3 linked regions of the Ovis aries genome follow. The protein of the gene in region 2 interacts with the protein of the main gene of each other region in a pairwise test. Links are inferred from orthologs where the notes say so. Each region holds a gene or a part of one and is shown on either strand. Other genes may lie near its edges.

What was found. The genes of interacting proteins can lie anywhere in the genome.
Region 1: the proteins of UBE2E1 (region 2) and RNF111 interact in a two-hybrid assay, tested with the Homo sapiens proteins (2 studies listed by BioGRID and IntAct). The link is inferred for Ovis aries from reciprocal best matches to the Homo sapiens genes UBE2E1 and RNF111.
Region 3: the proteins of UBE2E1 (region 2) and ZNRF2 interact in a two-hybrid assay, tested with the Homo sapiens proteins (2 studies listed by BioGRID). The link is inferred for Ovis aries from reciprocal best matches to the Homo sapiens genes UBE2E1 and ZNRF2.

What each region holds. Positions count from the first base shown.
Region 1 is NC_056060.1:49,399,758-49,403,408, reverse strand, and holds part of RNF111 (E3 ubiquitin-protein ligase Arkadia), read left to right. Parts: intron 1-2,316; coding exon 2,317-2,636; intron 2,637-3,651. UniProt on the Homo sapiens protein: E3 ubiquitin-protein ligase. Required for mesoderm patterning during embryonic development. Acts as an enhancer of the transcriptional responses of the SMAD2/SMAD3 effectors, which are activated downstream of BMP.
Region 2 is NC_056079.1:41,469,239-41,473,339, reverse strand, and holds the start of UBE2E1 (ubiquitin-conjugating enzyme E2 E1), read left to right. Parts: upstream 1-1,284; 5' UTR 1,285-1,447; intron 1,448-2,342; 5' UTR 2,343-2,375; coding exon 2,376-2,527; intron 2,528-4,101. UniProt on the Homo sapiens protein: Accepts ubiquitin from the E1 complex and catalyzes its covalent attachment to other proteins. Catalyzes the covalent attachment of ISG15 to other proteins. Mediates the selective degradation of short-lived and abnormal proteins.
Region 3 is NC_056057.1:67,506,558-67,510,208, reverse strand, and holds part of ZNRF2 (E3 ubiquitin-protein ligase ZNRF2), read left to right. Parts: intron 1-282; coding exon 283-388; intron 389-3,651. UniProt on the Homo sapiens protein: E3 ubiquitin-protein ligase that plays a role in the establishment and maintenance of neuronal transmission and plasticity. Ubiquitinates the Na(+)/K(+) ATPase alpha-1 subunit/ATP1A1 and thereby influences its endocytosis and/or degradation.

The sequences.
Region 1 (3,651 bases), on a different chromosome or scaffold from region 2:
CAGACTCATCTCCTGAGTCTTAGAGTTTTTTGATTTGTAGAATTAATGTGTCACACTTGGAAGGAACCATGAAGGTCATTTAGTCCATCCACTGAATGGATTTAGTGTCCTAAAGGTATTTTCTTTTCTTTTCTGAAGTAACACATAATAAATGACATTTACTTGTGTAACATTTTGACATGGAGACGGAGATATAACCCCAGAAATGTTGTAGGAAGTGAAGATCGGATAATAATGATATTGCTATAAATATTACAGCCTATAGAAAATAGCTACTTTTGATTCAGCATAACTAAGATAGCTGTTGATCATAGTTTCTAGTATGCCAGTTGTGATTCTGTCCAGGTTACTCAAGAAATTTGAAATGCAAATGAATGAAAGGGATGTAGTTATCAAACTGACTTTGAATCTGCTATCATTTATGTTTTAAAAGTAAACAACTTGTTTTCTTTTTATCTTTTTTGTTTTTCTTACAAATTACTTGTGATATTTAACCTCTCAACTTGTGATAACAAGGTAGTATTAATTCCAGGAGGCTACTGGAGATTAGTGTAATTCTTTTCTATTTGAGTTTACAGACTCCTGAATTCTGGTTCTCAGGTTAAGAACCCATACAAAAGGGCTTAGGAAATTAGCCCAAATAGGCCAGAATAGGAACTTGAGGGGGGAAAAAAAAACAATATTCAGAGATTTAGAATAGAGATACTGCCTAACAGGGTTTAGGAAGAGTTTAGGTTTGCCCAGAAGAGACTCAGCAACTGCAGAATAAGACATGTATAGGAGGGCAGACCCTGGAGAATTACAGGAAAGTGTCATCAGTCAGAGCCACCCAGATTCGTTTATGTGAGTCTGTAAATTCCCTTCATTGTTTTAGCCAGTTTTGGTTAGATTTTTTGTATTGTTTATAAATAACCAGAAGATTCCTAATTGGTACATTGACCCAGAAGAGAATAGGTTTGTATTGTGAGCCAAATAGGAGTAGGGTATCCCTGGTATTGGTTATTCTAGAAATATGACTGGAACACAGGTGTTCCTCTAGAATCCTAAGAATTCTGAGGAGATGCCTCATGATTCATGTGAGGGAAAGGAAGGACAAGGCTTTGGGTTTTCTATTCCTCTAATGTTTATTTTTTAAGTAAAAAATGTATCTCCATTTTTATCTTTTTTTAATTTGCACATACGTAGTTTGAGGAAAGGGTGCTTTTTCTTAGAGGAGTTTGAAACACTAGGGTAAACCTTCTGGGGACACATTTGCTTTTCTTCTGGCCTGGAAGAATGTACCTTCAAAGTAACTCTGGGCATGCAACAGAGCATAATTAGGACTCAGATGTTTTATACCTAGAAGATTTTTATCTTTTCTAAGAACAACCATGCAGGATAGTTACTGCTACATTTAATAGGTGAGAAAGAGATTAAATAACTTTCTTAAGGTCGCATTACTCAGATTAGACAGGCTCAGGATTAGAATTTAAGCCCATCTGACTTCATGCTTTTATCCCACTATTCAACTTTGATTCACAAAATTATTACAGGAGACTTTTAATTTTCAACCAGGTAGAATCTTATCATTTCTTTTGTTCTACTGGGTTTGAGGTTAGAGACCAGAGAAAGGGAAAAAAATTAGAAGTTAGTAAGACTTAGCCAGATATGCTCTGAGTTGGATGGTTATATCTTTTAGAAGTTAAGATTTTAAGAAGTGACATAGTAGTCTTCATTATATAGGAATGATTTATAGTATTAAGAGTATTTGTTGTATATAATGGAGGGACTCCCATGATACTTTGGAGTTTTTAAAATGCATTTAAAACTAATAATTTATTTTTAAAAATTAAAAATTTATCGTGACCTAGGAAAAGGTGATTTATTGCCATATTTAAATGTCTTGGTAAATACAAGCCTCTTGAAGCTTGGAAGAAAATCCCAGTGAAGACCACTGCCTAAAATTATAGGATATACATGTTAAGAATGTGATTATATCACATTATTATTTACAGATACTTGAATTCACTAATCACTTATTATTCACCTGTTTTTACACATTTATACACAAGGTTGCTCAGTTGGTAAAGAATCTGCCTGCAATGTAGGAGACCCGAATTGGTCCATGGGTCAGGAAGATCCCCTGGAGAAGGGAATGGCTACCTTACTCCATCCAGTATTCTTGCCTGGAGAATCCCATGGACAGAGAAGCCTGGTGGACTACAGTCCATGGAGTTGTGAAGAGTCAGACATGACTGAGCAGATAAGCACACACACGTATTTTTTACACAGTGATACTTGATCATTTAATTGATCTGTGCATTTTTTCATTTCAAGATGACTCGAGGAGAACTGCATCTAATGCTGTAACAGAAACTGGCCCTCCTGCAATGCCTAGGTTACCGTCCTGCTGTCCCCAGCACTCGCCCTGTGGAGGGTCATCGCAGAATCACCATGCATTAGGACATCCACACACAAGTTGCTTTCAGCAGCATGGCCACCATTTTCAGCATCATCACCACCATCATCATACTCCCCACCCAGCTGTCCCAGTTTCTCCTTCCTTTAGTGATCCTACTTGTCCTGTGGAAAGACCTCCACAAGTACAACCACCTTGTGGAGCAAATAGTACGTCTAGTACCAGCTACCATGACCAGGTATGTGGAATTTGATGAGTTCTTCTTAATTTTTTAAAATTGCAGTTCCTGCCGGAGAAAAAAAATCTAGTGATAAAGTTTATATACCAAATAAGTCATTCTTTTTGCCCCTGCAAGAGTGGCGTAATTTAATGATCTGTGATTTTTTAAAATTAAATATTTAGGATTTTCTCATTTTTTAAATGATTGCAACCAATTGAGGGGACCAGGGATGTGGATAGTTGAATACTATTTTTTATTCTGGAATGTTTTTCAGTGTTTTTACTTAAATATAAGTGGATTTAATGTTTAGGATTTCATTTCAAAGGTGTTGAAACTGTAGTGTCAGCCTCATTCATGAGAAATTGGGGAATTCTCCCAGTTTTTTCCTCCTCTACCTCCTCTTCTGGAGCCTCCTGGTAATCTCCACTCATCTAGAAATAAACAGACTTCTCAGCTGCAAAACCATATGGGAGGAACCTCTTGTTTCTCAGGAGCAGATTAGGTTTTTAGTGTCTGGGAAATTGAAATATCAGCAGAAAAAATTATCAGTAATTTTTTTTGCTAATTAAGTAAATTGGTTGATATTATTAGTGAGTACTTAAAATGTCAATAATGTTAAATTCGTATTGGTGATCACATGGAGTAACTAAAGTGAGGTATTATGTGCTATTTTAATTTTTGCTGTGTTGTTTCTGTATATAATTGTGATGTAAACCTGGGTGGTGCATACTTTAAAAAACAAAATGGGTAATATAAAATGGTAAGTGACACATGTGTTTAAAAAAATGGGCTAGAAAAAGTTAAAGTGAAATTCAGAGTAACTGCTCCACTGTACCCTCTCCTCTTTCCTCAAGTACTTTACTTGCTTCATCTTTTAAATTTTTGATGATTATCTCTTCTGGTTCTGACAAATTAAAATTAAGAAAGTGAAGTGTTCCCTTAAGAAGAAGAAACTAGCTGCTGATATTAAAAAAAATGGAAAGGGTTTAGTAGGAAATGTGATTAAAGAGATCTTAGGTGATGTTTTGGCTCT
Region 2 (4,101 bases):
GATTGCTCTGTCTGGAGATAGGAGGCTGAAATGATGACCTATATGTATTTTCTTTCTCAGCTTTTAGACCCCTTGATTCCATGACAATTCTTGGTAGGTACATGTTTCCTGGTCCCTCACAATTACTTTATGAGTCTTAATAAAGTTGGAGTTTCCTGTTGAGGGCTCGGAGGGGTTTAGGTGGGTGGTAAGAACGCTTGTTTTCCTGGTTAGCGGATACGCCTCGGGCTTTATAAATTGTGTTGTACTGTGGTAACTGCAGCCACACTGCTGCCATGGGAAAGGACGGCAATTTGGATGAGATAATTCAGTGGCCCATGGAAATCTGACTGGACAGTGGCTTAATGTACTACACTTCCTACCTGTAACATCATACCTATTTCTTCAATTTCCTTCAATTGAAATGAGGAATAAATGTGAAACATAATCAATTTGATGGCTTGAAAAAAGTAATCTTGTTAAGAATACTAAATGAACAATTCAGAATTAGAGGGACTTTTAGAAAAATTGTATGATTATTTGAATGGCGTTTGTATTGTAGCTGAAGAATGTACAGCGGTCCCCCAAACTTTTAATCCAAATTCTGACACCAAAAATTCTAAATCCAGTCTAATGCAGTAGTACAGAGTGTATTCCCATTGATTTCTCACATTCGTGAGACTGTCACACGTTGGTTGGTTTTTTCTGTCACGAAATTCTTTGTATCACTTTTAGAAAACACCACCTCTGTCTATAAAAATGACTGGAAATACCTAAAATTGTAAAACGGCACGTGTCTGGGCAGAAAAGTCCCGTTCCTCACAGGCGAGCCTGCACCTACTTCTGCTCCTAGCAGGTAAACCGTCAGAGGGAGAAGCCAGGTCAGCCCATAGGAAAGCCTGTCGTGGGATTTCTCATTTCCCCTTAGGCTGATCACTTTTAGGAGCAGTTCCCGGGGCCATTCTCTCGTCCAAAGTCCTGGCTACCGGATCACCTGTTGTTTTTTTTTTTAAACCAGTCGGCCACCCTCGAGTCTCCCTGGCAAAAGCCCCTCGCGGGAGGACTTCCTCAGGTCACCTCCCCACTCGGAGCAGTTCTCGGCACCCGCACCCACTCCCAGCGCGGGCGGGGGCGGGGGCGGGGTCCCCAGGCCACGCGAGACCTCGGCCCCCCGCCCGGCGCCCGAGGTGCTGAGGTGCGCGCTGGGGGGAGGGCGCGCGTGCGGGGGGAGGGGCGCGGGGCGGGGCCTGCGCGGGCGGGGGCGGGGCCTGCGCGGGGCGGGGCCTGCGCGGGGCGGGGCGGGGCGCGGGCGAGCGTGTGTGGCGGGGGAAGCCATTGCCTGTTTAATAGTTGCTGCTGCTGCACTTCCGCTTCTCTCCCGGCGAGAGAGAGACACGAGTGGCCAGGCCCAGCCGCAGCCGCAGCAGCAGCCGCCGCGGCGGCACGGAGCAGCCAGACACAAAGAGAGGTACGGGGATCCCCCGCGCCGCCCGCCGGCCCCCGGCCGCGCCGCCGGGCCTCGGGGCCGCCCCTAGCCGCCCGGGCGGCCGCCGGGCGCGGGGCCGGGGCTGGGGGACGGCGGGGGGCCGGGCCCGCCCGCGGGGGGATGGGCGGGGACCCCGGGCCGCGTGGGGCGCGAGGGCCGCCCGCGGCGGGGGCGGGGGGGGGCTGCCGGGGCTCGAACTGTCAGCGCGGCCACGGGGGGCTCCCGGGGCCGCCGAGGCCCGTGGAGGGGGAGGGGAGGGGCGCCCCGTGTCCCCGAGGCGGGGGCCCGCGGGGCTAGCTCCCCAGGGCGGCCGCGCTCATTGTTACCCCTCCGCCGGGGAGGCCCCGTACCCCGACCCCGGCGGCGCCCTTGCCAGTGCTGGGACCCCCGCCCGGCCGCGCCCCCGGGGGCCGGCCCGGGACTGGGGGGGGGGGGCCTGGCCTCGGCGCCCCCGCCCGCCGCCCGGCTCCCCACCACCCACCGGCGCCCGCTCCCCGTCCCCGTCCCCCCTTTCGGCTTCCTCCCTCGCCCCTCCCCGGCCTCCCCGCCCCGCCGAACTCCGTTCCCGGCCCCCGCGACCCCCGGGGGCCGCCGCACACCAATCGAGGCCGGCCGGCCCGGCCCCCGCCCGGAGGGGAGCCTCGAGGGCGGCGGAGGGGCGGCGCGCCGCGCTCCCGGCCGGTCCCCACCGCGGCCCCCACTCGGGGCCAGGAATATAGACAAACAGCCCGCGTCCGACTCGCAGAGGCCGTGATGGGCCTGGAGATTCGGGAAAGCGCGTGGAGGGCGGGGGGGCGGCCGGGGCCCGAGCCCTCCTGACAGCGCCCGAGTTCCGTGTCTACACCGGCCTTTCTGTTTTGTCTCCCTCCTCCTGCAGGGGCTGTTTGCGGGGTGGGGCGGGGGGTTCGCTATGTCGGATGACGATTCGAGGGCCAGCACCAGCTCCTCCTCGTCTTCGTCCTCCAACCAGCAAACTGAGAAAGAAGCAAACACCCCCAAGAAGAAGGAGAGCAAAGTCAGCATGAGCAAAAACTCCAAACTCCTCTCCACCAGCGCCAAGAGGTACCCAAACCCCACCCCCGCCCCCCAAAGCAGGCTTCCTATTGCCCGCACGGCCTCCGGTTGCATTGGGTCCGCTTCCAGTGAGGGTAGCTTACACGCTCCTCAGGGCTTATGTGTTCATAAAAAGGGAAAAAAGGACCTTGAAAGCCCGAATTATTTCTCTCTCTTGCTGCTTCTGTTTTTACTTCTGATCATTGTCTCCATGCAGCTGTTGTGGCTTGCCTTCCCCGTATCTTGCTGCAGTTTGTAAGAATCCGCATGAGTGTTACTAGTGACCTCCAAATCTGATTTCAAATTATTTGTCCTGTTAATCACTAATCTGTGACCCTCCCCAAGACTGTCATCCCACTTAATTATTAATACCTGCCCGGACAGCTCTATCACGACGATTTCTATCTCTGTCTTACTGCCTTCTCACCTGTTGCACATAGGATCTCTCTTTGAATAGTGCTTTCTCCACACATGGCGTAAGGAATAACTAACTCACGTTAGCAGAGTGAAAAATTTAATAGATGGAGATGGATGTTTTCAGATGGGATTTAAAGAGATTTTTCTGATTTAGAGAGTTGAGGCAAATTAATGAGTCAATAAGTGATGTAAATTAGTTATTCTAGGCTGTTTTGGGGATTCTTTGTGTTTTTTTGAGAACCTCCACTTAAATTTCCGGGAAGCTCAAATTTTTTTTCATGCTGTTTTCTTTTATGCTGTAAACAAAACAAAAACACTTTTGTCAACACAAGTTGAATTCAAGCAGTAGCTCTTTTTCTTTTTTCTCTCCCTCTTATGTCTCTGATAGAAGTTACTTTTAATCTCCATCATCCTTCAGTAGTATCCTCTGATCCTCACGAGCCTTAGTCTACAGCAGATTCCTTGGAGCCTCCATTCCTTTTCATAAATCCGGTTGTCCAGTGTACAGTCATTAAACTTTAAAGTGGCAAACCAGGAAGATAATAAGGAATTGAAATGGTAGCTTAGGTAAAGATGTCTGTCTTAAAAGATCGTTAAAAAAATGGAACAGGAGGCTTTAAGTCTCTCCACTGAGTAGTGAGCCAAAACTTTTAGTTAGAAAGTTTGTCCTGTCATTTTCCCTGAAATTTGGAAAGTTGATAAAATGCTTTGGTGACCTAAGCACAGGAGATGAAGAAAAGACTCTGGCTTACTGTAAACAGTGTATATGTGTAGAGTTACGTGGCAAGGTGCCTTGGCAAGATTCTCATTTTCAGCGAGGTTGTTTGATCGCATCTCAGCTTCCCAGGAGTCCTGAGCGGCCCTCCGCTATCAGCCCTGTGCTGGTTCTCCCCAAGCCTGGCATCTCCCCTGCCTGCTTTGGATGGACCCTTCTCTTCATTCCCCCTCCCTTTTTCTGGGCTCTCTGATCCAAGCTGAGGGCAGCTTTTGGCCTGACCTAAGGCAGAATATTTGCGTTAGTTCATTAGCACTTTTATATTTTGCTGGATTACCCTAGTGTCCAGGAATATATTTGGGGATAAAGGCACAGGTGTCAAATATAAAATTGTCTGCTTTATGTAAGCAAATTAGAGACAGTTTTTTTTCTTCATTAGACACAATTTGTC
Region 3 (3,651 bases), on a different chromosome or scaffold from region 2:
AACTGACTTACTGATAAAACTTTATAGCAAAGTTGTTTGCGAGTTGAAAGATTGTATACTGTGTTTTTATTAACTGTAATGCCTCCGTGAAATCTAAATGAAATTGAGAGACACTGTAAGTAAAGGTAAACATTGTTTAGTGAGTTACAAATAGTATTTCAAATATAGGTGCTGAATTTTATGTGCTTCTGACAAAAATATGCCAGACACCACTCTGTATAAGTCAGCATTCACATAATTCTTTTAGTTCTGTTGTCCTAAATGCATTTTCTTTTTTCTCAGAGGACGTACTGAGTAAAGATGCTGGGGAATGTGCAATATGCCTTGAAGAACTGCAGCAGGGAGATACTATAGCACGGCTGCCTTGTCTGTGCATATATCATAAAGGGTGAGTTTGCTTTTATGTCAGCCAAATTGATATTAGACTAAAAGACTTTGCTCAAAGTTTCAAATTTTGTAGTTACGGATGAAAGGTTTCTTCTTGATTGAAACTCCCTTCCCCCATTTCTTTAAAAAAAATTAAAAAGGCTTTTTTTCCCTTGTTGGTAATAAAAATCTGTTTACATCTCATAGTCTACCATTTGTTAAGCATTTACTATGACCCAGGTATTGTCTGTAGCTTCTTGAATAGGTTATCTTATGTAAGCATTACAACAGTCTCATTGTACCGTTGAGGAAATAAGCTGGGGGGCATGGTCACATGGCTAGGAATAAATGAAAGAACTGAGATTCCAGCCATGTCTGTTTGACTCCAAAGCCCATCTGGTTTCTGATAAAGTGTTTTGGTTTTAGGGCAACAAGGAAAAATTTGATTTAAGATGATTTAAAGTAAACTACAAAAAGAACAGAAAACTATAACTTTAAAAGCAATAGTGGAAATAACTTGGAATTTTATTTAAAAGCAGGGTGTGGACGTTGGAGAAAATAGTAAATAGTACCAAAACAAAGAGGCAAAAATAGATCCAATATCAGGAATTATAATAAATCCAAATGGTCAAACTAACCAGGTGAAAACAAATCAAAAGGTTGGAATATGCTGTTGATGAGCAGCACACTTAAACATAAGGGTACAGAACAATATGGACTTAAAGGGATAGAAGACTATATCCAGGCAAATGTTAAATAAATAAAACTGACAAAGCTAAATTAATATTGGAGAAAATTAACTTTATTGAAAAAAGTATTACTAGTGTTATATGATGATCCATGAATGAAGTTGCTTAGTCATGTCCTGACTCTTTGCGACCCCATGGACTGTAGCCCACCAGGCTCCTCCATCCACGGGATTTTCTACGCAAGAATACTAGAGTGGGTTGCCATTTCCTTCTCCAGGGGATCTTTCCGACCTGGGGATCTAACCCGGGTCTCGCGCATTGTGGGCAGACGCTTTACTGTCTGAGCCACCAGGGAATCCCTCCATTATCATTATCAATCCCTCCAAATCATTATATGATGATAATAGTATATAAAAACTACATTCTTTCCTGCACCAGAGAACACAGTCTCAAAGTAAAATATTTGTAGAATGGTTAGAAAAAATTGAGAAATCATCATGGTAATTGAAAATTTGAATATACTTCTCATTGAGTCAAACAGGCGTACACATAACTAGTTAAGACCTAGAAAAATTGAACAGTACGGTGAACAGATTTGATCTCATGAGTATTAATGGATGTATCTACACTCAGCAATTTAGAGAATACATTTTCTTGCCAGGAACATACAAAATATTGTAGAAATTGGTCATGTACTAGGCCACAAGGCAGATCTTAGTAAACCACAAAAAGCTGGTACCATACAGAAAGCTGTTTTGTTCTCTGAGCGCAGTTAGATGTCAATGACAAAAGATAAATGATCTTCACAAATACTCTTAAGTAACTTATAGATCAAAGAAGAAATCATAATGGAACTTAGAAAATATTCTGAATAATAATGAAAACCTTCTCAGCATTTTTCTAGGGTGATCCTTGCAAGATTTGTGTTACTGTGGAAAGAAAGACTGGAAATCAATAGTCCAAGATTTTACCTGAATTAGAAAATTGATAGCAGGATAAACACAAAGGAAACAAAGATCAGAGAAGAAAAAATTGAATGAAAAAATTATACACTAGAATAGAGACTAACAAAGTCAAAAGTTGATTCTTTGAAAAGAATAATAAAATAGGTTAGCCACTGGCAAGATTGTGTCTAGAAGGAAAAAATAAACAGTGTTAGAATGAAAAGGAACACATAACTTTAGATATAACAGGAATTAAAATAGTTGGAAAATTCTGTGAAAAATTTTATACTTTTCACCTAAAAATTTTAAAACAGGTAATTTGCTTAGAAATATAATATTGTCCAAAATGACTCAAAAAGAAATAGGAAATCCAAATAAAGTAGTAACTATCCTAAGTAGTTATTAAGACTAGCCCCCGAAAGTAACAACTGGTTTTTAAAAAGCCGAAACAAAACACTAAAGACAGGCCTACCATGACAGTTTGATGGCAAGTTGACCACGTAGCCGAACATGGGGTGGGCTTCCGTGATGGCTCAGTGGCAGAGAGTCTGACTATGATGCAGGAGACGCCAGGTCTGTCCCTAGGCTGGGAAGGTCCCCTGCAGAGGGAAATGGCAGCCCGCTCTAGTATTTCTTGCCTGGGAAACCCCATGGACAGAGGAGTCTGGCGAGCTACAATCCATAGGGTCACGAAGAGTCGAACATGACTTAGCAACTAAACAGCTACAACAAAACACTGTGTTAATAATCATAAATTCCTCCAAAAAGTAGATAATGATGGACGGTTCTCCCACTTATTTTATGAGTATAGTATATACTTGATACCCGTGTCAGACAAGAACAGTATAAGAAAGAAAACTAAAAGACACTCTCATTTATGAACATAAATGCAAAATCTGAAAACATAGTAGCAAACCAAGTTCATCAGTATATATGTAAAATAAAGCCTCTTGACCAAATTGGATTTATGTTATTAATAGTGATGTAAAAACACTATATGATTAGAAAATTTGTGTATATAATTTACCTCATTAGCAAAGGAAGAAGACTATATTAATAAACTCTATTTGCTATTAATTTAAAATCAAAAGCAAATAATAACAGATAATATGTTAAAATTAATAAGAATTTAGCTAGGTTGTCTGATAGGAGCTCAACATATGAAATAAGTTGCATTCATATCCCAGTAAAAAAATACATATATATATAACTTTTAGGATAATAACATTAATAGCAACAGAAACTGCAACAGGAATAAGATTTATTAAGAATAAATCTTACAAAAAGATATTCAAGATTTTAAAACATTCCTCGAAGATATTATAGAAAGTCTAAAATAAATACGTGGCATACGATTTTGTGGATGGGAAAACTCAATATCATAAAGATGTCACTGCACCCAAATCTATGTAGTTAATACTATTTCAATCAAATCTCAACTAGTTTTTTCAGATAGCTTGACAAGTTGTTTCTTACATATATATGGACAAAAGAGCAAAGGGTCAGGAATAGTCAAGACAATCATAAAGAAGTAAGTGATGTTGGGTGGTGGTGATGGGGTACTTATCCTATACAGATTCACTGTAAGACTCTTAACTGAGGTGGTATGGAGAGAATATAGGCAAGTAAGTGGAAAAGAATAGAGTCCATAA